Mus musculus: one gene and its partners. The protein of the gene in region 7 interacts with the protein of the main gene of each other region in a biochemical or structural test. Links are inferred from orthologs where the notes say so. Each region holds a gene or a part of one and is shown on either strand. Other genes may lie near its edges. The genes, in order: Fyn, Vamp2, Sncaip, Siah2, Nedd4l, Mapt and Snca.

Region 1 (4,188 bases), on a different chromosome or scaffold from region 7:
GAGTTGTAAGAAGGCAGGGCTGCCAGAGGCTGGGAGAGCATCTTGTCTGTACTTTGTCTCCAGACACACTGGCCTGCAGGGGAGGTTCGGAGTTCTGCAGGGAACCATGGTAGATCCAGGCCTGGATGGCTACCCAGTCCCCCCTCCCCCTCTCCCCCATACCACATGGTCACATGCTTAGCAACTTCATTTTAGAAGTAGGATACTTGGAAATGTATTTATGACTTGAGACCAAGAAAGACTACTGTCTCCTGTACAAATAGGACACGGTGAATTCCAGCGAGAGACAGTGCGGGATACACTATGGCGCTCAAGTACGCCCAGTTTTGCTTTAGCCACTCTGAGTTAGCCAGATAACTGCTTTGCCTTTTGGTGGGGAGGGTCTCCAGATGCTCTGCATGTTTCTGTCGTTTGGAAATCGCTGCACAGTGGCCCGATTTACCAGGTGCTTCCTCACCATCTGGGACGGGCCAGGTATGTCACAGAACGCCTAGGGTACCTTCTGTGGTGTACACAAATAAACAAAAATTTTTTTTTCAAATGTAAAATGCTCTCTTTTTAATTACTAAATTAGGAAAGTTAAACAATTTAAAAATGTAAACTCACAAGTAAATCATTAACAAAAAAAAGGAATTAAGACTTCAGAATTGCTAGTCAGTATTAAAAAACTCAATAGAAATAGGAATTGATTTGTTGTTAAACATACGTAATTCGAGGTTGGTACAAACAGCAACTAAAAATGTAATACTTTTTTTTTTTTGTGCACCCCCATGAAATGTAAAGTAGTGCATAGTTATTCACTGGAGCACTCCTGACACGGAGAGTCACTCATTAGCAGTACAGGACAGTAAAACACTTATTTTACAATGGGACGTGTACAACCCCCCACCCTTGCCTTCCCATAATTTTTAGTTGCATGAGAAAGTTTAGTAGGTTGCCATGACTACAATGCTATGGGTTTAGACCATTTAAATGTGGTTACAAGATTTATTAAATAAAAGGAAAACACCTGAACCCTTCAGCATTCATATTTATACAGGAAGTTTGTGTGGTCTCCGTCTTGCAGCTCTTGTGGTAGAACTGGCTGGCTGCTTTTTGCTTAAAATGCTCACTCCTAAGTTTCAAGAACGAATCACAGTTCGCTGGAGCAAAAACTGGCACTAAAACTCGTGACTAGGCCCTGGGACCTGAAAAAAGTCACATGAACAATCTATAGGTATGATTAGGAACCAAAAAAGTGCAGTCCAAATGGAGAGGACGTCATGCTTCGTAGAAGTCAAAAAATGAGGCCACCGGCTTGCAGGCTGACACCAGTGCTTTGCTGGCAGGGTTCTGCAGTAATCCCCACTCCGGTCCTGTAGCTATGTGGCCTACGCTGGCCAGTCTCCATGGTAGCACCCACATGGTGTATGTACAGGAACATATGTTAACATATATATCATATGTATAAAAAAGGGAAAAAAAACCCAAACACCTGTCCTGATCATTTTTTGTTAAAACATGAAAAAAAATTTTATTGTTTTAGACAAAGAGGCCACTTTTGGAAAATAATACTTTTTTTTTTTTAGTTGAATCAGGTGAAGACAGAGTTAAAATCACATAGGATTTGCTTTTTCTTTTTTAAAAAAGGAAAGCACTGGGATTGTTGGCACAGGAGCAGCTATTTACACTGAACAGAGGTTTGGCCTTTGACATAACATCGATACAATGCATTTCCAAGTCTGAGAAATAACACGCTTCTGTCTCAGATGGTTCACAGAGGAGGTTCGGACTGGGGGACAAGTGTCATTAATGAGGGCCGTGGAAGTTCAGCTTCAGAGTCACATGCAATCTGATCCTGGACGGTTCTCGCTGCTCTGGGGCAGCTGGCTACAGAATTGGAAGCTAATGGGGAGGGGTAGGGAGGCCTCGGGAAGAGGCGTCTGAAGCGCAGGCTCTCACAGGTTTTCACCGGGCTGATACTGGGGCTCTGTGGCCGTAAAGTAGTCCTCCAGGAAGCCCTGCAAGTACTCGAAGGTCGGGCGCTCTTCCGGATCCTTTTTCCAGCAGTGGATCATGAGCTCGTGCAGGGAGATCGGGCAGTCCTGTGGGCAGGGCATCCTATAGCCTCTCTCCACCTGCTCCAGCACCTCCCGGTTGTTCATGCCTGCGAAGACAGGGGCCAGTGAGAATGGGCACGTGGCTAAGGTTAAAGCATAAGGAGGCCGTCCTCCCTCTCAGGAGGGGAACCATGCCTGTAATAGGCTATCACAGCACGAAGGAGTGGAACAAAGGAATGGAGAACTCATAGATGCAAAAGCCCAGACAGTGACTCTCAAAGCACTACACGTGAAAGAAGCCAGACACAAGAGGCAGCGCACTGTACGATTTCACCTGGATGAGACCCTAGAAAGGCCAGAGACTGCATGATAGAAACCAGATCAGAGGTTGCTGCGCACGGATGGGGGTTGGGGTTGGGGTGGGGGCCACGGGTGAAAGGGCAGAGGGAGCTGAGAGGTGACAGAAGCCATGGTTGAATGCCCATGTTTTTCCTGTGAAAGGCCAACAGCAAATATTTTGTTTGTGTGGGCTACATGCAAGCTCTGTCTTATTTCTGTCACTGAAACAGTTTAAAACAAAGCCAGGTTGGGAGCCATGCTCTGCCATGAGAAATAACTCAGGCTGCAGTCCATGACCCCAGTGTAGTTAGTCCGTGTGAACAATCAAATTTCACTAGTCAAAACTCATGGGAGTATACTTTTAAATTAACCTTTGTTATGTGTAAATTATACTCACTAGGAAAGGTAAAACACAGGACTAGGGGAAGGGGCTTAATGTTGCTAGAATGTTGCTTAGAGTTGCAAAGTACCCAAGTTCAATTCTCAGCATGCATTCATACTAGGCGGCCTGTCATTCCAGTTCCAGAGCAACTGACACCTCTGGTTTCAGGAGATACTGGTACATACGTGCACATATCCTCACACAATTAACAAGAAACATAATTAAAAAGGAATCTTCGGGAGATGGAAAGATGACTCAGTCTTCCAAAGGACCCAGGTTCAAATCCCAGCACCCACATGGCAGTTAGTTCAACTGCCTGTAGTTCCAGTTCCAGAGGACCTGACACCCCCACAGAGACAGACATGGAGGCAGAACACCAATGTAAAGTTAAAGAAATTAAAAAAGAAATGTTTGTATGACTAAAGCACACAAACACCCTGTAGAATAAAAGCAACAGGTCTTCTATGTGCAGAGCTACAGTGAATGTCACAGTTTTCCTCATGCTTAGGCATGGCGTCTGAGGTTTGCCTTCATGCCAGCAGGGCTTGGCACCATCTGGCCTGGTGACCCTCACAGTGCTCTGAGGTTTGGGAACTGTGACAGGGAGGCAGGGTGTCTCTGGGGCCTTTGCTTATGAATGACAGCATCCGGCCATCTATCATCTGAGACCTCCCTGCCCCTCTGCAGGAGCTGCCTAATGCTGACATTCTCAGGCTGCAGAGCAGAAGGCATCATGGGAAGCTGAAGCAGGCATCACTCAGTGTGCTCCCTTCTCAGCTGCTTCCAGGTACTCTCTCCCTTGTCCGCCCACCCGCCTACCCTCCCTCCCTTTCCTCCCTTCCTTCTCCCTCTCTCTGCCAAGACCTTGTGAGCCTGACATCTAAAATCTTCCCTAACTCTTGACAGTTAGTTTACAGCAGCAAGAATCTGCTGTAATTTACAGCATGAGTCTCAGGGTTGTCACTAGTAAGGAATCGACATAATATTCAACACAGCCTTCTTTAATTCTGGGGGAGGTGACCACTGGGTCAGAACCTGTCACTTGGCCAGAGGTCACATTCCTGTTTCCCTCTGGAGGGAGCATCCAGGCTTCTGGGTTGCTCTCATCTTTGAAGCTGGACCTATCCTAGCTAGGTCTTCCTGGATGACAACTATTTCAGTCATCTGTTTGTCTAAGTCCTTGTAGGATGCTCTTTTATTCTCTGTACTTATAATTTCTGGTGGTGACAAAATTTAGCATTCCTTTGACTGTGTTTAAGTAGACCTTTAATATGACCAAATAATTTCACTCTAGCCAGGCAAGCCCCTTGCCTTGGGAGAATGCTGAGGCCAGTGTGGGAGTACCTTTTTCTGTTGGGTGTTCCCTGGAGCCAACGAGCTCAATTCCTCCCCCAGATACTGAGGAGCCAGGATCTAGGATGGAGAGCT
Region 2 (4,079 bases), on a different chromosome or scaffold from region 7:
AGGAGGAGGAAAGCCAGACCCTGCCTGTCTCTGAGAATAAGGCTCTCTCAGGGATGTAATGAGTACTCCCACATCAGTAGGTCCTCCCCTAAAATGCCTCCTTCACCCTGGAGGCTTACTAAATAGACAGCTGCTCCCCGGTTCTTTCTCTCCCTAGATGCAGGATGGGAGTGTGTACAGCTGCCTTGGCTGTTTAGTGTACTTAAAATGGAGCAATCAGGAATGGACCAGGCCTAAGAGAATATCCTATTGTGTTATCTAGATCAAGCCATTTGACAAATATTGAGTGTCTCCATACATGATATGCTTAGTGTTTAAGGTGCAGGGAGAGGCAGCTGGTTCTGTCAAGGTCACGTGTGTGGGATTAGTCCACATGTAAAGTTGTGCCTATAACCAAAGTACTTCAGGTGCCACCCTTGTCTACTGTCTCTTTTCAGCCCAGGCTCTATGCTAGAGTCAAAGCTGAGGGGGGCAGTTGACCCCAGACGGGATCCAGCCTGTGGTATCACCAGACAGTCTGGGCCCTTCCTGGAGTCTCTAGCTTGTCTAATCTTTTTGGGGCCTGCTTGGGCTTTACCTGCCAAGTAGTACACCTGGTGAGAACTTCATCTGTAAGGATGGGCAGTTTCTCTCTCTCTCTCTCTCTCTCTCTCTCTCTCTCTCTCTCTCTCTCTCTCTGTGTGTGTGTGTGTGTGTGTGTGTGTGTGTGTGTGTATGCTTCTGTTACTCCTTTTGCCCTGACCCAGCTAGGAAATCAGAAGCCTCAGTCCTCCCTTGAGACATTCACTTGCAGGGTGATGGGTGAGATTAGTCCTCACGATTCCCCTCCACTCCAGCGTCAGAATTCCAGTTATCAGTATTGCTCTGGCGCCTGCCTTGGTCGCTTCTCATTTTTTCACCCTCAACCCATAGACCAGGTGTTGGGACCAGGTCGTAGGATGAGACGTTGGGCTATATGGCATAAGGACCGGTGTATCCTCTTCAAAGATAAGGGAGGATGTATTGGGGGGTGGGGCTGTATGGATTTCGGTTGTGGGTGCCAAAAGAGGCAGGTGCCTTGGGGGCGGCAGTGGGTTGGCGAGCTGGCCCCACAGCCAGACCCAACTAGGCGACCCCCGGCCCTGCAGCGCCCCGCCCCCGCGGTCCGCTTGCGACGTGTCGCCTGCCGCGCCCCGCCCACGCCGCAGTACCCGGATGCGGGTGACGTGCGGCCGCCATCTTCCAGTCCCGGGTAGCCAGCGCCAGTCGGAGCCAGCGCGAGCCGCCGCCGCCGCCGTCGCCGTCACTGCCTCTGCCAAGTCCACTGCCCGCTACCCCCGCCATGTAAGTCAGCCGCCTGCCACTCGCCACCCGCGGATGTTCTGCCCCTTGCGGGCCGCCACCCCAAGGAGTGGACCGGGAAACACGGGGGTCCCGCCGCGGGCCAGGCTGGTGCCCATGACTGCGGGCGGATGCCGGGAACCGGGTCCCTGGCGGTCTGGCACGGGCGATGGCTGCCGGAGGGAGCAGACCCAGCGTCCACCCTCCGCCCCGCCCCTGTCACTATGGCCGTCAGTCATTTCGGGTCGACCCCGGGCAGCATCTACGAGGTCGCCCTCATTTAACCAGAGGGGAAATTGAGGCATGAGGAGGGTCTCTCAAGGTCACGCAGCTCAACCTTAGAGTGACTGTCTCCCATCGGGTGGCCTTCTCGCGCAAGAGAGGACTGGAGGGACTGTGGATGGACAGGTGGATGGGTGGAGCCCCGGCCGTAGGGCCAGAGGCTTCAGGCCTCGAGTCTTAATCCGTTTCTCTTCCTTAGGTCGGCTACCGCTGCCACCGTCCCGCCTGCCGCCCCGGCCGGCGAGGGTGGCCCCCCTGCACCTCCTCCAAACCTTACTAGTAACAGGAGACTGCAGCAGACCCAGGCCCAGGTGGATGAGGTGAGTGTGTGTGTGTGTCTGTGTCTGTGTCTATGTCTATGTATGTCAAAGATGCAAGATGATGGGCTGGCAAATAGGTGTGGGAGCCCATCTTGGGTTGAAGGTAAAGACAGTTTATGCTTGTGGGTTTGGTCGGAGACCTGCCTCATCCCCTTTCTGTCTCCCTGTTAGCATGCACTTGGAAGGGCTGCAGGATGAATCAGTTGAGCTAGCCTGGGGTGTGCCAGCTGGGGCAGGTGTGCTCTGGTGATAGGCGGATCCAGGCCCTATAGATAGAGGGTGTTGCTGAGACATCTGAGCGCTATGGTAGCGGCATGACCCTGATGTGTGCTCCTTGCATGTCCCCTAGGTGTGCTAGGCATGTTCTGTGTATGTCCTTGGCATGTTAGCCTGGAAACATCGGGGTGCATGTTCCACTTGTGCCACGATGGGCACATGTTCAAGAAGTGCCCTCCTTGAGGCATGCCTTGGCACACCCCCCTGCCTCGTGGACCCCTCCCTCAGGTGGTGGACATCATGAGGGTGAATGTGGACAAGGTCCTGGAGCGGGACCAGAAGTTGTCGGAGCTGGATGACCGTGCAGATGCCCTCCAGGCAGGGGCCTCCCAGTTTGAAACAAGTGCAGCCAAGCTCAAGCGCAAATACTGGTGGAAAAACCTCAAGGTAAAGGGGAGGAGATGGGGACAGGTTGGGAGGGGCAGTGGGGAAGTAGGGTGTCACTGTGTCATTCACCTCCCTCTCACTCTTAGATGATGATCATCTTGGGAGTGATCTGCGCCATCATCCTCATCATCATCATCGGTGAGTGGGGCCAGAGGCCAGGGCCCCTCCCCTGGGGAGGTAGAGGCTTTCCCTGGGGAGCCTGGGCTTTGAAGGTCACTAACCTAGTTTTTACTCTGCAACCAAAACACACTTTGCTGCTATTGGCAGTTCTGACTCATTTAGAGCCCAAAACTTGAGTGTTGTATAGCCCTGCTTTCCCTGGTTATGGGTCAATCCGGTTAAGATTTTGGGACTAGGAATACCGGGTGGGGTCCTGGTGTTCGTCTAGGAACCCTTTGAGCCTAAAAGCTCCATCTGGGGATTCTAAAACGGGAGTAGGAGACAGGAAAGGGTGAGGTCTCGAACACCAACCACCAGGATACCACTTACTCCACTGTTTGAAAGCTACCGTCACATACCCAGTGCATTAAAGGTTTTATGCCCCTTTGTCCAGCCGTGGAGTTTAAGGGACCTCAATACCCACTTGCCAAGTCCCTTTGAAGAAACTGAGGCTGAGAGGGAAGGGATGTCAGCCAGTGGGGGAGTGGGGAGGCTTGGAACAGGGCCAGGCCTGACACACTGCTTTCTTTCTCTTTCTCCCCCTCTCCTCGTCCTCCTTTCTCCCCCTCTCCCTCGTCCTCCTCTTGCCCTCTCTCCACAGTTTACTTCAGCACTTAAATCCCTGAGGAGTCTGCCCTGCCTAAGAAGGGCCTCTCCCCCACCCCCAGCCGTTCCTCCACCTCTCAGCCATATCTTTCAGCCCCCTCCCTTGGATCCGTGTGTGTGTGTGTGTCCGTGTGTGTGCCCCCTGTAAATAGCCAGCTGTTATTTATACATATATAATATTATATATATTTGGTCTGTTTGTAGTTTTATTACTAGAAGATTTTTTCCGGTTGTCCTTAACACCCCTTCCTGAGGTTCCCATCACCTCTCTCTCACCCTCTGTCCCTTTTCCTCTTTCCTGATCAGCCCCAAGTCCCTTCATTTGCATCTGCTATGCAATAGCCCCTCTCCTCCTTCCCTTGGATTTAACCGATCTTTCCCTTATCTTCCCTGTACAATCCCAGGCCCTCCCAAAACAAAAGCAAACCCCACAGAAACAAACAGAACACCCCACCTGTCTAGGCTTCCCTAGGCTGCATCTTTGTATCCCTTGGGAGGCTCTGAGACTGGTTCCACTTGGTCCTAAGAATCCCAAGATTTTCTGGGAGCTTCCAACATGTTGATTAGCATATCATTTGCATACGCTGTCTGTTTCATTTTGTTTTGTTTGTTAGTTTTTTGTTTCCTTTCTGATCCATCACTCTTCACTCTTCTGTGTTTTTTCTTTCTTTCTTTTCGGAAGAGTCAGTCTCCATTGGTCCTCTTACCACACTTTTATTAGCACGACAT
Region 3 (4,107 bases), on a different chromosome or scaffold from region 7:
CACATGACCCCTGACCTCGTAATTTTCCTCCTGTGCCCCACCTGTCACTGGGTCCAGCTTTGGTCATTAATTTTAAAGGTTTAATAAAAGATTCAAGCTGCCAACCATAGAATATAAAGTCTATTATCAACTAACTGGAAAATAATGCATAGTGTTTAGCTAAGAGACCAAATTATGTATTCATTTCAGGAAATTTTACTCTGCAAGTGAATTTGCATATAAGTCAAAGAGCAAAAGTAAATAAGCATATACAGGTTCCTGTTTCACAGAAGCAACTATTTGATTCTCGCCACCTATTATTTGTCTCCGAAGACACACATTTCTCCTATGGGATTTGCATCTGTAACCTGAAAGAGTGCCAAAAACTAGGCTCTTTCTCTAAGAGTGTCACAGGATCCTCTTGTGGCTCTTCAATTAGATTTTGCATTTAAGAGAGAAAGTCCCTTGTGTTTCTTCTAATGATGCACCTGCTACTTTGGGAGATTTCTTCTTTTCACAAGAAACAAGCTAAATCTGGCAAGAAACATGGCTCCGGGCTTTCTCTGATGATATCAAAGAGCATTTGTATGTTTTAGATGTTTTTGTGGGCTTCCCTCCTCCTAGGCACAGTGAAGTCCCTCCAAGTCCTTCCAAAACAACCGTGCTCCCAACGATTTTGGCTTCTATTCCCTGTTTCCACTGCACACCTGCACTGAACAGCTGCTTGGACTCAGCAAAGCTGTGACATGGCACACAGAAATCCACGGACCTTAGTCACTTCCTTTCAGACACGGACAAATAGAAACATCGAATTAGCGAATGCAGTACCATTTCAGATGTACTGTCTTGTAAACTCTCTTCACGAACCTCTGAGGGATGATAAAGGTTATGTTCAAACTGATAAAACCTCTTTATAAACCTCCCTTTTAGCAGCATTACTAACATTAGTGATGTTCTATGACTCTTAAGAGAAGTGCCATCATTTACTTTCTGATCTAGACCTGGAAACTCGAGTTATTCCATTATGGGCAATACTTGGTTAATGTTCCCTGAGAAAGAGACTTCTGTGATCAGCCCCCAAATGTCACACATTCTTCTATTAGTTGTAAGGACAGTTTAAAGGTATCTCCCTGCATTTTGCTATGTAGGAAGTAATTTAATATCAAGTCACATCAGAATCAGCCAATAGACACTGCCTCCCAGGTGTGCACACATTAGCATATGGGCCTTTCTACAATCTTGCTCTCTTGACTTTTGAATTTTTCAATGTGTACAAATGAAATACAGATTTGAACTTATTCCCAACTGAGATGTCTGCTTCATAATGAGAATTTTTTTTTTTTTTGCCTGCTTGCAGATTCAGCGCCGAAATGATGCCTGACCATAATGTGTTTAGAGTTGACACCTTGGAGAACTGACGTCTGCGCGAATGTAATCCCCATAAATCTCCCAAGATAGTCCTTATTTCATTTTGCAAACTGTGCCCTGGCCGAGCTCCACAGCACGTGGTGTGTGGGGAGACTGTTGCGGTGGTTGGTGGCTCTTTCTTCCCAGGGGCTATTAGATGGACACTTGTCAGTAATAACCAGGAGGAGTGGCATCCCACTTCCAGCAAGTGAAAAAAAGGGCACAGCCAGCAATGCTTCCTTAATTAACTTTCCCAAGGAAAGCAATGTTCCCGCAGGAAAAAACAACACTGTTTCCACCCTCCTAGCGGCTAGTTGGAAATGAGCAACAATGCAGTTGCCTTTTTGTCTCCTGAAGACTTTCTTTGCTGCAAGCAGTAGCGTGTTCCTCAAAGAATGCTAGTATTTCCTGTGGAAACTGTATGGCTGCCAGAACTGGTTCAGAATATTCTCCCCTTTCTTTTCGAGAAAAAAAAAATGAAATAAACAAAACGTGGCATTTGACAATAGCCAACGTTGGCTTCATCCCTACTTACCACCTGCAGACGAAAGTCACCGCCACTGAGAGGGTCAGAAAGAAGCCTTCCCTAAGACATGGACAATCCCGGGACGCCGGACAGCGCCGGGAGGAGGAGCCGAGGCTGGACGGGGCAGCCTAGGCGTCTCGGGGATGATGGGCCAGGGGCTCTCCTCGGGTAGCGACACCACCCGGCATCCCCTTCACGTTTGTTATTGTTCTGGTTACTAGTGTAGCTATCACCATGCCTTCGCCCCTCCCTGGCAGCTCCTAGGAGCCTTGGCACAACCCATCCACGCCTCCGGGACCATCCGAGGTAGCAGCAAGCGTAACGCCAGCGCAAGGGCCAATGAAAAGAACAATCCCCTGCACCAGAGCCAGGGATTGCGAGGCGGGAGCGACTTGGGTCCCCCGGGGTGAAGCTGCCTGGGTTACCACAACGTTCTCCTCTTGTAGCTCTCTGCAGCGGCACCGCGCGGCCCCGAGCAGAAGGGACCCGAGGCACAAAGGGGGCCCCCGGGGTCCCGAAAACCCTCAGGGTGTCGCCCGGTGCAAAGTTGCACGGGCTGCCCTCGTCCCTCTCCTCCCTGCGGCGCCCGCGGTTGGGACCTGGACTCACCGGAGCGCGGGAGGACGGCGGGAGGGATGGACGGACAGACGGCGAGAGCGGCGGGCGCAGGAGACCCGGCGGGCGGCGGAGGCGCTGCCGCGGCCCCGCTACGTCACAATGCGGCCGGGCGGCCGGCGCCGCACCCCGGGCCCCCCAACGGGCGCGCGCGGGCGGGGACACCCGGGGCGGCGGGACGCTGAGCTCAGGGACGCAACCACCAGGCAGGACCGACAGTGACCGTCCCCCTGCGTCCCGGCCCAGCCCACGCCCCTCAGCAGCAGCCGCCTTCCCCTGGTGTCCCCGGCCAGCGAACCTGCTGCTTCTGCTTACCTCGCGCGTTCACCTCCGCCGCCTTGGCTCTTCCCCGCAGGCTCTCTCCCCTCCTCCCCTCCCACTTTTGGCCCCTTCTTCCCACTTTCTCCCCCGCCTCCCCTCTGGCTTTGCTGCCTCTCCAGCACCCCCCCCCCGCCCGCCCCCCGCGCGCTCTTTCCTCCTTGGAAATGAAATCTTCCCTCACCGCGATCCATGAATCAACCGCTGCCACCTCATTGGTCCCCAAACCATTCCAAGGTTCCAGCATAAAACCGGGAAACGATACTCGGAGAAAAAGGAAGGTGGAACACGGCCCTGGGAAAACTGTTGTGTCTGAGAAGTGTTTTGGCCAGAGTGCTGTGCCTTGGCACCGCGTCGTCATCAACCCCCAACCTTCCCCTCTTCCAAGTCTAGCCCACCCTGAAAGACTTAGCCAAGGATGTAAAGGGGCAGGGCTGGGGGATTTTTACCCAGAATGTTTTGTGCTCCTGGGTGGGTGGCGCTAGAGATTTGGGTCTGAAATGACAGTTGGTTAATTCAGCAGTGTACCCAGGACCCTGTGATAATAGTAACTTTACTCCTAGCATTCCTTATGGTAGGGGCATCAGTGATGCCTGCAAGCGGTGGGTGACCGCCTCTTTCCTATTTCCGAAACAAAATCCAGAGAGAACAGACGCTTTGATAGCAACATTGGCTCTCTGTTGCCCCCTTGGACAGCTTTAAATGACTTTGGACAAATCTCTGTCCCAGGAGTGGGACAAGATTTGGAGTGTGTCAAAGGAAAGCCATCATGGGCTTCATTCTTGTTACCTGCTTGCTAGAGGTTGTCAGAAGGAAGGAAGGAAGGACTGAGTTCTGGTCAAATTAGGGTCATCTTGCCCACCCCCCACCCCTGCCCCTTTCAGCCAGGGTGGGAATGGCTGTGAGAGATACAGGGAAATCCAATACTACCTGGGTGCTGGCAGAGGGATGTATGCCTGCCTGTCACAGAAAATACACTGCCAGTAAGAAAGAAGGGCCCGGGGGTTTAAAAGCTAGGTTGCCCTGAGTAATTAGAGTGAAGCCGTAAGTCGTTCTTATGAGATACATAATTTGATTTTAGTAGTAAAGACAATCAGAGCAGTCCTTGTCCTGCACACATCTGGAATTCTACCTGGAAGACCTACCATAAGTAAATGGCACCCCTAGAAATGACAGCCTTGAATGTCACCAGAAGACAGTTTTAATCCTCCTCCCTACTCTAAGACTAAATTTCTTCCCCAGCTTTTTGACTAAACAGCCAA
Region 4 (4,158 bases), on a different chromosome or scaffold from region 7:
TCTCTGGCTGTGCCTTCTCTGGCTCCTTTCCTTATCGTTACCATTCCTTAGAAGCTTATTCTTTTCTAATGAGAGACAGAAAGGGGGATCAGAATGCAAGGGGAGGTGGGAAGGAACTGGGAGGAGCAGAGGGAGGGGAAATTATAATCAGGTTGTATTATAGGAGGGGGAAAATCTGCTTCCAATAAAAGGGGGCGGCATGAAACTATTTTATCCGAATTGCCCAGATGCAGCACCTGAGTTGAGTGAATTAGTAAGCAGGACCTGGGGTGGGGCTAAAGGCAAGCAAGTTAATAAGCTGACCCTATAGCCTAAACCCTTATTTGAATAAGCTATTTTAATTGGGTTTGTAGCTGGGCAGAAGGCCAAAGTAACTCACTCATTTTACTGACTTGACTATGAAGCCTAAAACGAAAATTTCCAGTGAGCTATTTTTAATTTAAAACAGCTCTTGCCCTAAAAATTAATCACTAAGGAGATAGGCAAGACAAAACAGTCTCAGGTAGAACAATTACTTTCATTAAAAAAAATCTCAGAAATATTAACATTATTCCCACCTATAAGTTCAGAAAATGAACTCCTTGACAGAGGTCTAGGTTAGAAAGAGGCATATAAATGAGACTGTGGGGAGTTTTGTAAGGGTTTCAGTGTTGGCAACAGGATGTTATAGCAGAACCACACAATGTAATGCTATCAGTCATTTAAAATACAGGAGATCAAGTCAAGTTTCAGGTGAGGATATTATTAGTAAACCTGGTTGGCAGAGGAAAAAAAAAACACTATCTCTGTGAGTATTAAAAAAAAGAAGCTTTCAGATATAGACATGCATGATTCCATTAATTTAGCCGTGAGGATGTAAACACAGGTCCTAAACAAACCATTGGAGCCATGGGAATGAGAGCTCGGACTTTGACTTGTGGTTTGCCCACCCCACCCCACCCCCCAGCACAGGCAACTAAATAAAATGCTGTCACTGGAGAGAGAACTAATAACGCTCTTAAGTGTCTGCGTTGAGTCCTTGTGGACTCGAGTTCATCGCAGTTAGTCAAACAAACAAACCAAAACAAAAACCAAACAGCAGCTACAACTTCTGAGTCCTCCGCAAGTCTGGGAAGCTGAGAGAAGGCGTGGCTTGCTGGGTTTTCTGGGCTCCCGTGCTAAGCAGGCAGTATCCGCTTCCCCTTACAAAGCGCTCTCTCAAGTGCTCCAGATCTTGGGCACTGGGTCCAGGAGGAATCCAGGACCGTTCTCGCCAAGCTCAGCGCTGGAAACCGTCCGCTTCCTTCCTCCACAATCTCCACTGCCAGCTTCCCTGTTCACATTAAGCTGCCCAGGCTTTATAGAGCACACCCCTGCGGTGGACGCGGCGGCACTTGGCTGGGAGAGCTGGGATGCTTCTAAACCGTCATCAAGTGCCAACTTATCTACAGTCAGTGCTCCGGCAAACGTCAACCCTAGTTGCTAGTTCCCAAAATGGACAGGTTGGCCTGGAAACAATAGACAAGGTACACACACGTACACACCGGAGACAGAGAGAGTGCGCCAGAGAGAGAGAGAGAGAGAGAGAGAGAGAGAGAGAGAGAGAGAGAGAGAGAGAGAGAGAGAGAGAGAGAGAGAGGGAGGAGAGAGAGAGAGACAGACAGAGAGAGAGAGAGAGAGAGAGAGAGAGAGAGAGGAGAGGAGAAAGACAGACAGACAGATGGAAACAGTGAAATGCCATTCGCCTCTTAGGGCCTTCAAGTGCGCTGGAGGGCACCGGAACTCTGGAAGGTTCCTTGGCAGATCTGCGGATGGTGGCTGGACTTACCTTACAGGGAAACAGAACTGCCGAGGCGACCTTCTCCATAGCCAGGTTCCTGATGCTGGGCGTTAGGGCGCCCCTGCACGTCGGGCAGCAGCTTAACTTCTGGCGGCATTGGTTACACACCAGGTGCCCGGCCTGGCACTGCAGAATGGGGGGCAGGACATAGTCAAAGCAGACCGGGCACTCGAAGAGCGAGGTCAGCTCGTGGTGCTGCGGGGACACCGGGTCGGCCCCGCCGCCGGCTCCGGGGCCTGAGATCACCGCTGCCGCGGCGGGCACCGCGGACGAGCCGGGGCCCGCTGCCGAGATGGTGGCGGCGGCCGGGGGCGCAGCCGGGGACGGGGCGTGCGGGGTCTGAGGCGGCGGCGGCTGCTTGCTGCAGGGTTTGTTAGCGCTGGGGCCGGTGGAGGACGGGCGGCTCATCGCGCTCCGAGCCCACCATGGACCTGCGGGCGTCTGCCTGCCGCGGGGCCGCCCGGGTTAAGGCGGTGCGCGCCCCGCGGGTGGCGGGCTCCGGGGCAACGCCACGGCGCCCAGCCCGGGGGACCCAGCGCGGACCCGACCGGCACCGGGAGGGCGGGGACCGGACCGCGCCGATCCTCTCGGCGGCACCCGGATGGTCGTCGCTCTCGGGGCTCGCGGCCGTGCGGTGCCCTCCTCCGGCGGCGTTCTGGTGCGCAGAGCCCTGGCCCACTCGCTTCAGGAGCGGCAGCTGACGCAAGCCCCGGGGGCGCGCGCGGACGTGACGCTAAGACACGTGTGCGGCCGACCCGGCACTCAGGGACTGGCAGAGCCACCCTGCGGCCCGCGCAGCTCCGCCCGACCCAGCTGGCAGCGCCCGAGCGGTTTCCTCGCTGGGAGCCCTTGAATGAGTCGATCGCCGCCGCGTGGGGTCGCTTCTCTGCGACAGTGGAAGCCGGCAGCCCAGGGAAAGGACGTAGCCCGAGTCTCCCGACCCTTCCCAGGGGACCTACGCCGACCCGCACCGACTCCAGCTAGAAGGGCAACTGCTGGCCCGGCGTGGGCGTGGAGGGCGCGCGAGTGCGCCGGGGGCGGGGCGGGGCTGGGCGGGGCGGGGGGCGGGGCTCGGAATCCCACGTTTCTTTTAGCCATTGACGCGCTGGAGCAGCTGGCGATCAGGCTACTCGGCCGGTAGCTTGACACGCGGGGGCGGGACCCGGAGTCGGGCGGGAGCCGCGCGAAGGCCTCGGGTGTGGCCCGGCAGTTAGGTACGAGGGTGGGCTCTTCAGTGGTTGGGACCTTAACGCTAGGTTTTCCTTCGAAAGCCCACTGGCGAAAGCTTCTTGGAATTGGCCGCCTCTGATTGAGAGAACCTGAACCTCTTTGACAACTCTGACTCGATGGAGAATTAAAACCTCCAAGGAATACCATACACGTGGGTTGGGTTTGTGAGGCCCCAAATGACAGGAGACCCTCTGGTGCCTGAGTCCTTAACGTCTAGTCCTGGTCCAAACCTTAGGCTTTTAGCTTACTTACCTGGGGCTTTGGGAAGAAGGAAATGGGTGAGGTCAACCTACCCCTTACCAACCCTCAGCTTGACAGGATTGGTGCTGGATTCTTCCTGAGTTGTCTTTGTACACCCGACATATGGAAAGTCTCTAAGATCCCCATCTTAGAGGTGTAAAAGGCACCCACGGGAGCTGGAGGGACGCCTCAACATACTACTCTTAGAGGACCAGACTTTGGTCCCCAGCACCCACAACTGCCTGTAACCCCAGCTCCAGGGGATCTGATACCATTTGGTACCAGTACACATTATATACACACATGCCCATAAATAAAAATAAACCTTAAGTGTGGTGGGGGTGGGACAGGGGACATCTACAGCCTACCTTCCGGTCTAGCAATAAGAGAACTCTCCGAGGGTTCCCCTAGTCTCAGTAAAACTTATTTCCAGGTACTCTTCACCATTCAGAACCCCAGAATTAGAGAGCGCCTGAGAGTTTGGAGTGAACCGTATAATGGACATACCCTGCACACAATTGCTATGGCAAGCGTTTTATGCCTGAACTGATGACACTGGAATTGGAAAAAGCTAGTATTGATACTCTTTGTAGGAAAACAGAGATTAGTCAGGATAGGGTAAAATAGTGCCCTGTGACTTCGAGCGAAATTCTTTTTAATATCCTGACTTAGTTTGTGACTGTCTTGTGTGCACACGTGGAGGTCAGAGGACAGGTTTGTGGGAGTCGACTTTCTCAAGTTGGCAGGCTTGATGCAGGCACCACTACCCTCCTGAGCCACCTTCCTGGCTCCAGTCTCCTACTCTGTAAAAGTGAATTTAAACAATTTGAGTTTCTCTGTGCCATTCTTGTAGAACCTCATCCATCATA
Region 5 (3,605 bases), on a different chromosome or scaffold from region 7:
TCACCGCAAGGGCAATTTCTCATGTGATACATTAGACAATCATATGATTCTTGCGGATTAGAAAAGAAGACCAAAGTCAAGAAATCTAGGGACACCACATGGAATTACACCTCTTTATGTCTGAGATGGCAATTTTAACCATATAACTAACATACATATTTTAACAAGGTATATTTTTACAACACATAATTATATTACTTGGTAGAGTTGAGCCCAAGTGTGATTATCATCATCATCAACAACAACATTTTACAACCAAGAGACGCTGGAAGGTTTATACAGACAGTGCTGAGTTGACAACCTGTGCTTATTGTTGGCATGCCTCCCCACCCCCAACCTTGCGTCTTCTGTGTTCATTACCTGCAGTATGGATCTTAGTTTTGCTCTCATTTTGCCCAGAAAATTGATGCCTTTAGCCAAAGAAAGTATGAGCCCCAATATAATTCTTTCTTTGCGTGAGACTGCCACCCTCTGTCTGCTCCCTCCCAGTTGATGTTCTAGGTCTGAGCTTTGTCCTGTGGTAAAGAAGTACTGGTCACTTCTATGCTCACTCAGAATCTGTCTTCTGTCCCATGGTTGTGACTCAAGTTCTTCATTTATAACCAAAGAGTTTTTGTCCTCGAAGCTCACATTGGCACTTACAGTAGTGTTTCTTTGTGAGTTATCCTTGTGTCCTCCAGTGACGAGCAGCTCCGTGGCTATTGTCCTTGTAAGCAAGCCTAGCCTGGACCTCATCCTTCCTTGCAGAAGGCTGTCTGCACACCTCACTCACGTGCTGGGTTACATTCAGTCGACTCTGGGTTCATGGATGTTTTACCCAAACTTAGTAGGATGCTGGCCCCCACCCTCCACCATAGCACCATGAACTTGCAGGCAGCATGCCTTGCATCTCCCCACTGCAGTTCCTACCAGAGAAGACCGGTTCCAGCTTGCCTGGAGGTTATAAAGGGTTGATTACATGGGATTAAGTCTTCTCTCTTTCTTTGACTGAACCAGCATTCCAAGGTGCCTGTGTGGGGGAAGTGCCCTTGTCTCCATAGTGGTAAGGATGAGGTTTTGGGCTCAGTAGGTGTTCCCCTGAAGATTATGTGGGTGATTCAGCCTGAGCAGCTCTGAATGGCTACTTCGCTGTGTCCCATCTTGACACAGGGAGGTTCTCCCTCTGTGAAAGGACAAACCTATAAAGGGGAGACTCTTGGGAGCCAGCTGTCACTGCACATTTATCTGAAGGCCATCATTGCTTCTGCTCTTTGGCTATTTTCCTGGAAGGCAGGAGCGTGCGCGCATGTGTGTGCATGTGCGTGCGTGCGTGCGTGCGTGCGTGTGTGTGTGTGGTGTATCATATGATCATAAACTTGTCTTTTTATCTTTTATCTAGGCTGATATTCCAAACAGGTTTGAAATGAAACTTCACAGAAACAACATATTTGAAGAGTCCTATCGGAGGATCATGTCTGTAAAGAGACCTGACGTCCTAAAGGCTAGGCTGTGGATTGAGTTTGAATCAGAGAAAGGCCTGGACTATGGGGGCGTGGCCAGAGAATGGTTCTTCTTACTGTCCAAAGAGATGTTTAACCCCTACTATGGCCTCTTCGAGTACTCTGCCACGTAAGTGCATGGAAGACATTTGCGCTGTGTGCCCTTCCCTGCAGCTGGTATAGTTTTCTTCTTAAGGAACTTAACATAACATAACATAAGACAAGAAACTCACCCATTTGAGATTTCAGTCCCTCCCTACCCTACCACCCTAACAAGTCTAAAAACAAGTTCTGATCCAACATGGCGAAGCACTGTACACTGTGAACGCCTGAAACTGATTCTTCTCTTGTCAGTTTGGCTCACAGAACTGAAACTGAAATTATGTCAGGTGATTATAGAGGGAGCAAGGCAGTTTTCAGCTATAGTGCCATTCTGATATAAGGGAAAGGTTTGTTAGTGCCAGAATTCAGAGGCATATGACCACGAATCATTCCTGAAGTCACACTACTTAAAAGGCAAGTCATGAGGATTTGAAGACCCATGCTTGGGATACAAAGGCCAATGCCCTGCTCCCATAGTAGAAGGACCAGGCTTTGCCTTCCATGGGGATTCATCATTGCCTGGCAAGGGAACTGAGGCAGGCTAAATTGTTTTCTCAGCAAACATTTGGCTCCTATTGTCTCCAGGCTGAGAATGCTCGAGAGCACGAGGCCGATCTTGAATTCCCAATAGAACAGTTGATCTTGGCAAAAGATTTAGCATTGTTCCAGAGTAGACTTCAGTTGATGTGGCTTCTCCTACACCTTCCTCCTGGTACCTGTATGCTTAGGGCTCTTTTAGAAGGCTGCCTCGGGACAGTCTCCAGTTGACCTAGCCTTGATTAGTGAGGTTCTTAGGGAGGCTTCTGAGAGAATCTACTCGTAACACCACTGAGGTAGAAAGAGGAGGAGCCAAGGTCCTGACCTCTCCCTACATCTCCTAGATACCCCCCCATCACTCTATGCTGCCTGGTTGAAAGCCCCTCATCCTCATGATTGTAAGGCCGACAGGGACCCCTGAGTGTGCTCCGGGGGTTGCATTGTGGACATGGGGCTTTCCCCAGAGCTCTTGAGGTCAGGTAAACCAAGAGACGAACGAACCTTTAGGGGAAAATTCCCAGATCAAAAGCCTCTCAGAGGAATTAACTTTTGCTCACAGAAACCATCTACAGCAGAGCTTGTGTGCTGGAAGATCTCTGCACACCCCTTACCACTGGGAGGGTTCCCTTCTTCTCAAGATATCTGGTTGACCCACTTGAAATTGACATTGTGTATGTGTCTGTATGTATGTGCATGTGTGCATTTGTAGGTGCAAATGCACTTGCATACGCGTACATATGAGGGCCAAAGGACAACCACAGGCATCCTCACCTTGTTTTCAAGACAGTCTCTCACTGGCCTGGAACTTGCCAGAAAGCTAGGCAGCCAGAAAGCCTCCAGGGACCCATCTGTTTCAACTTCCTGAGCCCTGGAATTGCAAATGTGAGCTGTCACACCCAGCTTTTAAAAAATGGTGTCCTGAGGATCAAACCAAAAGCCCCAGGTTTGCAAGGCAACTGCTTTATGACTGAACAGCCATCCCTAAAACTGACATTTCTGTAGATAAAAGTTAGCTGACTGAAAGCAGTTTCCATAGCTTTACCTGCTCCAGTGAACCGTAACTGTCAATTACAGAAAGGCGTGGCTGACTGATGGGTTACATTCCCTAGTTCATATCGGTTGCCACGAAGTCCCCAAGGTTGCCCATGCACTATAAAATGAAGCAATGGGTAGCAAAGGGGAGTTCAGCTTCTTGGATTTCTTTCATTTAAGTATGACTGGACTTTTCTCTTTTCCTCCCCAAAGGGACAACTACACACTTCAGATCAATCCCAACTCAGGCCTCTGTAATGAAGACCATTTGTCCTATTTCACCTTCATTGGAAGAGTTGCTGGCCTAGCGGTGTTTCATGGGAAACTCTTAGATGGTATGTTACTCCAAAATCTTGTGGTAATGAAAGTAAGGCAGCTCTGTTTGTGGGTCTGCAATCTTGTGGGTCTGCAGTCCAGTGTCTGAGCCCACGTGTGGATAGTAAGGGTGTCACGGGT
Region 6 (4,405 bases), on a different chromosome or scaffold from region 7:
GTGAAGACAGCTACAGCGTACTTGTATACATAAAATAAATAAGTAATTCTTTTAAAAAGAAAGTAAAAAGAAATTAGCCCCATTTGCGTCATTCCAGAATAATTCAGTAATTAAGCTCATATGGGAAAAAATGTTTGTGGTGCTAGAAAACTGAACCCAAAGTTATCTCAAAATTTTATTTTGGGGGCTGGAGAGGTGGCTCAGGGGTTAAGAGCACTGACTGCTCTTCTGAAGGTCCTGAGTTCAGATCCCAGCAACCACATGGTGGCTCACAACCATCCACCCCCCCAGCCCAGAAGTGTGTTTGTTTGTTTGTTTGTTGACTCACTTTCACCCTGTAATACAATTCAGGCTGGCTTGGATTCTGCTATATAGCCCAGGCTGATCTTGAACAAGTCTCAGCCTATCTGAATGCTGGGATTACAGATGTGAGCCAACACACCGAGCAGGTACAACGTTGGAGTTTTAGAAACAACTGCTGGGATAGCAGTGCACACCTTTAATCTCAGCACTCTAGAGGCAGAGGCAGGCAGGGGATCTCTGTGAGCTCCAAGCCAGCCAGGGCAACATAGTGAGAACCTGCCTTGAAAAATAAAGAAAAAACGGCATGCAAATGAAAGCTTCAAGACAAGTTTTCGCCTCTTTGGCAAGAAGTAGGTGCCTGTCTCTCTTCCTTGCATTTGAACAGGCTCCAGCTGTCCAAGAGAATTGAGCTTTGGGGAGGTAAGATATTAAGCTAAAGCCACAGCCCACGCCTACGTAGCTGGAAGGAGAACTAATGACCAATTTCAACCGGAAGCTTGACATCCAGCAGGTGGCCATCTCCAGCAGGCACCTTAAAAATTCAGCTCTCACGCTGTACAAAGGTGTTTCAATAAACGAGATAAAAATAACTCTGTGAAAATGCCTTGCAGTGTGTGTGGTAAGCATCATTAGAACTTACCTATTTAAAGATTTTTCTTCGCTAGGGTCACAGTCAAGATACCTAATGGGTTTGAATGCTCCTTGATTTAAAAACAATTGTTTTTCCACGAAAACGCTAAAGTGTATTACGGTCAAGTTAATCTGTTTCGAGAAGATTTGTCAAGGAAATCATTCACTTTGGCCATTAACAAAAACAGGTGGAAAGAAAGCAAGCGAACAGCTGGCCCTGGAAATAGAAAGTGCGCTCTATCTGGAGGGCCACATTTTAGGAGACTCGGGGAGCCTGTAGCACTTGGGGTTCACGGTGTACCGCCTGGAGAGCCAGCGAGGGTGAACTGAAAAGCGGACGATGACCGACACACCGCTCTGCCTGGACCCCGCGGGGACCGAGGGAGGGGACCCCTGGACTAGACAAAGGCTGCAGCCCCGGGAGGCCGGGTGCGCGTGCGCCACGGAATGCGCGTGCGCGCGGCGGTCAGCACCGCGGCCCGAGGCGTGGCGGGACCCGGGGAGGGAAGCGCGGAGAGGGGCGAGCCGAGCGGCGCGGAGAGAGGAGGGTTGAGGGGCGCTCGCGTGCGCCCCCTAGCGGTCGGAAGGGGAGGTGCCCGCCCAGGCCTCGCTGCCCGCCCCTCCCCTAGGGAGGTTCGCGCTCCCGTGGCTCGCGCCTGCGCTGCCCGCCGGCCTCCAGAACGCGCTTTCTCGGCCGCGCGCGCTCTCAGTCTCCGCCACCCACCAGCTCCAGCACCAGCAGCAGCGCCGCCGCCACCGCCCACCTTCTGCCGCCGCCGCCACAACCACCTTCTCCTCCGCTGTCCTCTTCTGTCCTCGCCTTCTGTCGATTATCAGGTAAGCGCCGCAGCTCTGAAATCCAGTCCCCTCTGGCCCTGTGCGCCGTCCTCCTGCCACCCCTCGCCCCAGAGATGGATTTAGGGAGCTGGGCATCAATCAGGCGCAACGGCGGGGGCCTCTCTGCGCCCTAGGCGCTGGGGAGCTGGGAAGGAACGCGTGCAAGAGATGCACGCACGCGAGCGAATGCGTGTATCTATGAGTGCTGGGGTCCCCACTATCGGCTCCGCGCAAATGAGGGGGGCTGTGCCCGCAGGGTGGGGCGCGGATGACGGTGACCTAGGGAAGGGGTTGTTCTGTAATCTGGATCTCAGCCTTTTGCCGCAATGGGCGTGGGTCTGTGAGTGTGCATGGGGGTCCAACGACGACCCCCGAAACAGAACCTGAAATCGGATTTCTCTGCTCCTGATTGCCATCAGCCCTAAGGAAGGTGTGGATCGGGTTCTAGAAAAGATGACTGCCTTCATGTCTCTCCACCTCCCTGACAGCGATTCTGACACGGCCTTCACTGGCCCTGATTTAAGGCGGTGGCCCGCCCCCTCCCCTTTTCCTCCTTCAGAAGCCGGCAGGGGACATTTGGGGGCTGGGAGGAATCCGGAGGATGGGGAGGGGTCCAGGCGCTGTCACGTTAGTCGCCCTTCCCCCTGCGCGCGCTTGGTACAGTGACAGGGGCAGCGCCGTGCCCGAGAGAAGGTAGTGCGCGGATCCCAATGTGGGAGCTCGAAGAGTCAGGGGTCACCTGGCCTCGCGGTGTCAGCGGGCTGGCTGGCAGCGGCTCCCCGCTCGAGGGCGCGCAGCGTTGCAGCCAGGCACAGACCCACGCGAGGGCTGCAGGTGCATTTCGGGGCGCGTTTCTTTCTCTGCGTTCTGCGCCGGGCTCCCGGCATGTGCGCTCCCTGCCGGAGGCGCGGGCTGGCGCGCAGGGCTCGCCCCTCACTGCGGCAGTGGGTGTGGACCTGGGTGGGCGAGGAGGGGGGAGTACGATGTGTCTCCTCCCGCTGCCACCCCTCTCCGTTTTTTCCCCCCTCTCTGAACGCGAGGTGCCATCTTTTTGCGGCGAGTCACGTCTCTATCGTAGCATGCCAAGAGCTGTGGCCAGGCTTTGGAGGACCCGGCTTGGACCCATGTTAAAGAACAGGGGGTGATGAACACGGAAGCCTTGGCGTTTTGCCTCTGCAGCGGTGCGCACCAGAGCGTTCACCTGAGGTCGTCTAGGGGAGCTCGCTGCTTTGTTCGTCGTGTGATTTAGGATCTGCGCTCCCAGCCCTGGTTTTTTGGGGGAGTGTGCGGGGGGAGGCGGGAAGCTTTCATTCGACGAGGATATTTGCCTACGCACTCGGAGCAGCTCCATCCTTTTTTCGCCACTCTTTTCAGACCCTTTGTTGGATCTACAGACTTGCGGCAGCCCACTCCCCAGTTCGACCCAGAGCCACATGGGTGGGATTCGAGATAGACTCTCGTGTGCAGGAGCCCTCAGAGGAAGCACATCCCTCCCCACACCCAGGCCATCCTGAGGACCACACCCCACTTGTGTTTCACTGCTAGGGGAGCCAGATAACCCTCGGGAATGGGGAGATTCGGCAAGCTCAACTCCGCATCCCCACCACCACCACCACCGTTGAACCCTGTTGCCTCTCCCGGTGGGAGAGTGTGAGGAGAGGGTATGAGATCCCCTGGGATACTGCGGCCACACCCATCCCTCCCAACCCAAGGAGAGAGGGTTAAGGGTTGCCATAGGAACCACACCAGCCAGAGGAGGAACCTCTGGGCGTTACCTCACCCCCTACCTCCCACCCCCTACCTCCCACCCCCCCCCTTACTCCGCGGAGATTTAGAATCCTGGGGTAGTCTGATAGTGCCTGGAAGACACGAGGAAGGGGCCCCTCATCCCTGATGCGAGCATCATTCTCTTGGCACTGGCAACCATAGCCATCCAGAGAGAGAGAGAGAGAGATGCCTCTAATGTATTTTATTATAAGCGTGCTGACTGATATTATTTTATTAATATCATTTAAATGAGGGACTTTCATTTTTAAAAAAATCCACATCTACAACAGCCCTTGAAACCAGAGAGGGATAGAAAGCTAAGAGGTCCCAGCCTCCCCACCGTACAGTAAGCTCGGTCTTCGAGGTTTTCTGGTTAATTTTACCGCTGAATACTGGTGCGGGTAAGCAGTTTTGAGACCGATGGATGAGCTTCTTAAGGGCCGAATTGCCCACGTCGACTGCTCACTCAGATTGATGTAGGCTGGGGGTGGAACGCCCTCTCCCGATCAAACCGCGGCCTGAGGCTGTGGCATCGTGGCCGGGCCCGCCTGGCAGAAATTTCGCGAGCATCTGAAAGATAGGTTCAAATACTACCCATCCCTCGCCACACGACGGGCTGCTGGGAACAGGATTCTTAAGCTAGAAGAAGCCAGGCTCTTGGGCTGGATGCGGAAAGGGGAAGGCTGGGAGGGGGGGCTGACTATAGCGGGCCCGTTGGGCAAAGGTGTCACAGCGGAAAAATCAGCGGGAGGGGGAGGAGACAGAACGTTTTACCCAGTGCAGAAACAAAGCTCAGATCACAGCGTCTTCGAACTCCCATTTTGCACTGTGTTGAGGGGTCGAGTGAGGTACTGTGCTGGCCAAGGCC
Region 7 (4,297 bases):
TGTTTACCCTGAGTCTTCCACCAAGAGAGATGCCCTCCTAAGAAGGTGGAAACAGTGTTCACAGGAGGAAAGAGAGGTAGATGAACCCTGCAACTGTGCTCCCATGTGCACCTGTGTCTCTGCTGGGGATAAGCATGTGTGCATGGGTGTCTATTCCTTCCATGAAAGTACTAGAAGGGATTTGTAAAGTTACAGCCAATTTAACACAGGGAAAGACAGAGAAAGGGAGTGTTGGCCTTCCTTTCAATGTGTACAGTCAGGCAGAAAATGGCACTAAATATCAACCTCTTACTGTTCAGCATGTATGATCTCTGACAGGTGAACTAAACAAACATTTCTGAAGTTCCTTAAGTCCCGCTGTTCCCACTGACCAAGTGATCCCTAAAAGGAGATCCACCAAAGAAGACTTGCTTTCTTTCTTCTATTTGAGGGTCAAAGGAGTTGTATTTTCACAGTTGTAAAATAAAATTATGCAAAACTATTGTTTAAAGCTTTATAATTTATTAAACTTAGCAGGTATTACCTATAGTGATGATGAAAGAAATCAAAGTCCCATGAGTACTTGTGGCTCACTTTCTTTCTTTCTTTCTTTCTTTCTTTCTTTCTTTCTTTCTTTCTTTCTCTTTCTTTCTTTCTTTCTTCCTTCCTTCCTTCCTTCCTTTATTTCTTTATTTCTTTGTGTGTGTGTGTGAGTGTGTGTGTGTGTGTATGTGTGTGTGTGTATGTGTGTATGTGTGTATGTGTGTGTGTAAGAGAGAGTGTGTGTGTGTGTATTGTGTGTGTGTGTGAGTGTGTGTGTGTGTGAGAGAGAGAGAGAGAGAGAGAGAGAGAGAGAGAGAGTGTGAGTGTGTGTGTGTGTGTGTGTGTGTGTGTGTGTGTGTTCTCACATAGTTCAGGCTGGCATCAAATTCTCTGTGTAGCTGAAGATGACCATCAACTCCTGGTCCTTGGGCCTCCACTTCCCAAATGCCACCAGGCTTACTGCCATACATGTCTTTGATTCATAAGCATATTCTTGGTTATTTTTCATGGGTTGCCAATTTTTAAAATTCAGTGTATTCATACACAGAAACAGAAAACCAAATAAAAAACCTACATAAATAACAAGATTAATGAATCTAAGGACAGAAAACATTGTCCCTGTTTGTTTCTGAGAGCTAATATGCAGGTTCATATTCTCTCACCTCCACACAGCTGTCACTCTTCTGAGAAGCTGTGATGCACACGAATCAGACACCACACACCAGCCACCCCAATTCATTAGTCACAGTGTCACTACCTACCTACATAGAGGACTCCCTCTTTTGTCTTTCCAGCTGCCTCTGCCACACCCTGCTTGGTTTTCTCAGCAGCAGCCACAACTCCCTCCTTGGCCTTTGAAAGTCCTTTCATGAACACATCCATGGCTAAAGATGTATTTTTGCTCCACACTAGAGAATACAGAATACATTTTGAATTAGAAAATTTGGGTAAAAAAATAATAATAATAAGGTTTAAAACAGCTAGAGAAAGAAAGGAAATTGAGGGGGAAAAATCAGTATGCCTTCCCCCAAGTCCTGGTGTAAGTGTGATTTCTTGGGTGGGGGGATGTGGGGGTGCTGGGCACAGTGTTGATTGATTGTTGAGTTATGTCACTCAATACTAGGAAAAAGTCATGTCACTTAAGGATGGGATGGATCTAGTTTGATCATTCGACTGCTCTTACATACATATTTCAGAAGAAGAGTTGCAGAAGGGGAGGTGGGCATCCTCTACCCCATCAAGTTCCCAGGGCCCAAAGGTTACATTCAAAGTAAAAAGACTATCTAGAAAAGGAACATGGGAGGTGGGCGTACAGAGATGGAGTGGGGGCAAGAGGATAAAAGACCCAGAGAGGAGTCAGTCTTTGGAGAAGGAAGGGAGGGGAACTGTTTAATCTAGAAGTAGGGAACTGCTTGAAGCCCAGCCTTTCTAATCTTGCAAGACCTTCTGCCCACCACTAGCTCTTTGCCTGCTATCTGCCCAGAGCAGGCGCTGTCCATACACTTGAGCAGTCTCACTTGAGCACCACCCAACCAAGAAGCTCTGTCCTCAGCTGGAATCCTCTAGAAGACCCTGCACCCCATGCTCATTAACCCTTTATCACCTGTTGCCTACTGTCCTCTGCACTTCTATTAATCATGGGCCAAAGGCACCCTTCTTCCTCTACAGAAAGAAGCTGAAATGCCTGGGGTTGGAGCATGAAAGTTGGATGCTCAAATTCCACCCAATGCCCAGCACTAAGCTTCCACCATCCAGCACTCAACATGAAACACCCTAGCGTTTCCGCTTGAAAAAGCAGATGCCACAGGCAACCTGGCCTTTCCCTCGGGCTTTGACAGGATGGAAGGGCATGTCTCCAGCGAAAGGAAAGCCGAGTGATGTACTTTCCACGCACTGGCCCAGTCCCCACCGCCAAAGCAGCTGTAGTTGGTCTTCTCTAGGCGTCCCGGCTCTTTGCTCCGGCTAGCTAAGATCCCCAGAGCTGCCCCATCTACAGGTACTTACCGGCTCCCTAGGCTTCTGAAGAACTCCGATTCTTCCTGTTTTCCCCAATCTAATTTCAATGAAAGAGGCAAGGGCAGGCAGGGGCAGGGGGAACACCTGCTGGTCTCCTGCCGTCTGCTGCCTGCTGCCGGGCGCTCTGGCTCCCTGGCTCCTTCACGTCGCCCCCGCAGCTGATTTGTCAGCGCCTCTCCCCGCCCCTCGCCTGCCTCGTGCCTTCGCTCCTCTTCCTAGGGAGGGGACGGGTTGGTTGGAGGTGCGGTGCGTGAGGGCTGTGGGTATCTGGAGCACATTCCCCCGGATGGAAGGAAGAGAGGACGGCCTGAGCCTCCCCTCGAGTTCAGAGGGCCCTCAGTTTTATCGTGGCTGAACTTGAGCTGGCGCCTCTCCTGCCCCACCCCCCTCCTTCCCTGCCTCAGTCTGTTCCCAGTTCCTCTAGGCGACCCCCTCCTCCAGGACGAGCCCAGATGCCACACCAGAGAGCTGGACCGCCTGAAATGGTCTGTGTGCGGAGCCAGGCAATGGAGAGGGAGCACACACCCTTGGGGTTGCTTTTGTTCACACAGCTTAAGATTTCCATTTGTTTTTACCCCGGAGGAGTCTAAAAGGGTTCTGGGTGCAAAGGGGAGCCGACTAAGGAAGAGTTACAGGTCGAAGAAGCAGGGGGAGGCTCAGCAAATCCTCATTCCCACTCCACTATCACCATTTTCTTTTCCACCAATCAGCGGCTGCCAGACGCTGATTTTTTTTTCCCCATCTGTGGAGCAAGGAATAAATATCCCCCAACCGTCGAAAACCAGCTGCCTCAAGGCTTTTTTGCACTTGAGAAAGTGGCTTACTATAGAGTTACAGGATAGGAAGGTAGCGGCTGTGGGATTCACCCTCTGGGACCATCACAGGCAGTTTCTTCCTTAGTCCCTACTTAATGGCAGATTTTGCACACCTCTTACCTTTCCGACTTCTGGCTGCGTGGAGCTCCAGCGAACAGACTCTTCTTCCAATCCAAGCACACGCGCAGATAGATGCACAGGCTTTGAGACAATTTCTGTGTTACTTAACACGTTCCCACTTCTCTCTGAGATGAGCAGAATACCACTGTTTTATAGCAGAGTGGATTTGAGTGCCAAGCTCCTCCCCCAGCAGAGTGCCTTGCTTTTCCTTTCTTGTATTCTGAACTTGTGTTGGGCACTGGAAGCTAAATCAAGCGTTTACTGTATTAAAAGGGGGGGGGGGTCGTAGGAGGGAATGCTTTCTCTGATCCTTGAAGTCAGTTGACTTCTGAATCCTGAAAAATAAATAAATAAATAAATAAATAAATAAATAAATTGAAGTCTAAAAAAGCATTTGAAACAAGGGACAAGCAGCTTGTTTGGCATGCTATAAAGGAAGGAGGCAGATAAAACCACAAATGCAGAGTACAAGTAATGTGACAGAAATTAACTGTTTAAGCAACGCCTTCAATTCTTATTCCCTTTAAAAATCAACCTTCCTACACACTAGTGGCACATACCATGTTTACTTGAAATTAAAGGAAAAGGTGGCACCTCTGCAGTAGATAGGGTTAGATCCTGGGCTCTAGCATCCCCATCCTGCCAAGTTAGGACACCTGTCCTCAACCAGCCAGGTAAAGTGACATATAAATAGTGAAATACTAGAAATGGGAGTAATTCAATGTGGCCACGTTAAGAAGAGGAACAGAGGTTTAGTGCCCCAAGTTCATCTTGTTTAGATAGAGGTCAGGATGTATGTATGACTAAGCAGTAGGTCAAAGTGT

The links.
Region 1: of the proteins of Snca (region 7) and Fyn, one has a biochemical effect on the other in vitro, tested with the Homo sapiens proteins (3 studies listed by BioGRID). The link is inferred for Mus musculus from reciprocal best matches to the Homo sapiens genes SNCA and FYN.
Region 2: the proteins of Snca (region 7) and Vamp2 form a complex in vitro, tested with the Homo sapiens proteins (3 studies listed by BioGRID and IntAct). The link is inferred for Mus musculus from reciprocal best matches to the Homo sapiens genes SNCA and VAMP2.
Region 3: the proteins of Snca (region 7) and Sncaip form a complex in vitro, tested with the Homo sapiens proteins (3 studies listed by BioGRID and IntAct, with this or other methods). The link is inferred for Mus musculus from reciprocal best matches to the Homo sapiens genes SNCA and SNCAIP.
Region 4: of the proteins of Snca (region 7) and Siah2, one has a biochemical effect on the other in vitro, tested with the Homo sapiens proteins (4 studies listed by BioGRID). The link is inferred for Mus musculus from reciprocal best matches to the Homo sapiens genes SNCA and SIAH2.
Region 5: of the proteins of Snca (region 7) and Nedd4l, one has a biochemical effect on the other in vitro, tested with the Homo sapiens proteins (3 studies listed by BioGRID). The link is inferred for Mus musculus from reciprocal best matches to the Homo sapiens genes SNCA and NEDD4L.
Region 6: the proteins of Snca (region 7) and Mapt form a complex in vitro, tested with the Homo sapiens proteins (3 studies listed by BioGRID and IntAct). The link is inferred for Mus musculus from reciprocal best matches to the Homo sapiens genes SNCA and MAPT.

The regions. Positions count from the first base shown.
Region 1 is NC_000076.6:39,561,722-39,565,909, reverse strand, and holds the end of Fyn (tyrosine-protein kinase Fyn), read right to left. Parts: intron 2,147-4,188; coding exon 1,938-2,146; 3' UTR 529-1,937; downstream 1-528. UniProt on the Homo sapiens protein: Non-receptor tyrosine-protein kinase that plays a role in many biological processes including regulation of cell growth and survival, cell adhesion, integrin-mediated signaling, cytoskeletal remodeling, cell motility, immune response and axon guidance.
Region 2 is NC_000077.6:69,087,305-69,091,383, forward strand, and holds the start of Vamp2 (vesicle-associated membrane protein 2), read left to right. Parts: upstream 1-1,223; 5' UTR 1,224-1,321; coding exon 1,322-1,323; intron 1,324-1,801; coding exon 1,802-1,922; intron 1,923-2,426; coding exon 2,427-2,585; intron 2,586-2,671; coding exon 2,672-2,723; intron 2,724-3,345; coding exon 3,346-3,362; 3' UTR 3,363-4,079. UniProt on the Homo sapiens protein: Involved in the targeting and/or fusion of transport vesicles to their target membrane. Major SNARE protein of synaptic vesicles which mediates fusion of synaptic vesicles to release neurotransmitters.
Region 3 is NC_000084.6:52,766,873-52,770,979, reverse strand, and holds the start of Sncaip (synphilin-1), read right to left. Parts: upstream 2,888-4,107; 5' UTR 2,843-2,887; exon of another isoform or gene 1,922-2,842; intron 1-1,921. UniProt on the Homo sapiens protein: Isoform 2 inhibits the ubiquitin ligase activity of SIAH1 and inhibits proteasomal degradation of target proteins. Isoform 2 inhibits autoubiquitination and proteasomal degradation of SIAH1, and thereby increases cellular levels of SIAH.
Region 4 is NC_000069.6:58,689,589-58,693,746, forward strand, and holds the start of Siah2 (E3 ubiquitin-protein ligase SIAH2), read right to left. Parts: upstream 2,801-4,158; 5' UTR 2,228-2,800; coding exon 1,808-2,227; intron 1-1,807. UniProt on the Homo sapiens protein: E3 ubiquitin-protein ligase that mediates ubiquitination and subsequent proteasomal degradation of target proteins.
Region 5 is NC_000084.6:65,191,698-65,195,302, forward strand, and holds part of Nedd4l (E3 ubiquitin-protein ligase NEDD4-like), read left to right. Parts: intron 1-1,378; coding exon 1,379-1,608; intron 1,609-3,362; coding exon 3,363-3,484; intron 3,485-3,605. UniProt on the Homo sapiens protein: E3 ubiquitin-protein ligase that mediates the polyubiquitination of lysine and cysteine residues on target proteins and is thereby implicated in the regulation of various signaling pathways including autophagy, innate immunity or DNA repair.
Region 6 is NC_000077.6:104,229,838-104,234,242, forward strand, and holds the start of Mapt (microtubule-associated protein tau), read left to right. Parts: upstream 1-1,598; 5' UTR 1,599-1,770; intron 1,771-4,405. UniProt on the Homo sapiens protein: Promotes microtubule assembly and stability, and might be involved in the establishment and maintenance of neuronal polarity.
Region 7 is NC_000072.6:60,826,198-60,830,494, forward strand, and holds the start of Snca (alpha-synuclein), read right to left. Parts: upstream 2,808-4,297; 5' UTR 2,527-2,807; intron 1,431-2,526; 5' UTR 1,405-1,430; coding exon 1,284-1,404; intron 1-1,283. UniProt on the Homo sapiens protein: Neuronal protein that plays several roles in synaptic activity such as regulation of synaptic vesicle trafficking and subsequent neurotransmitter release.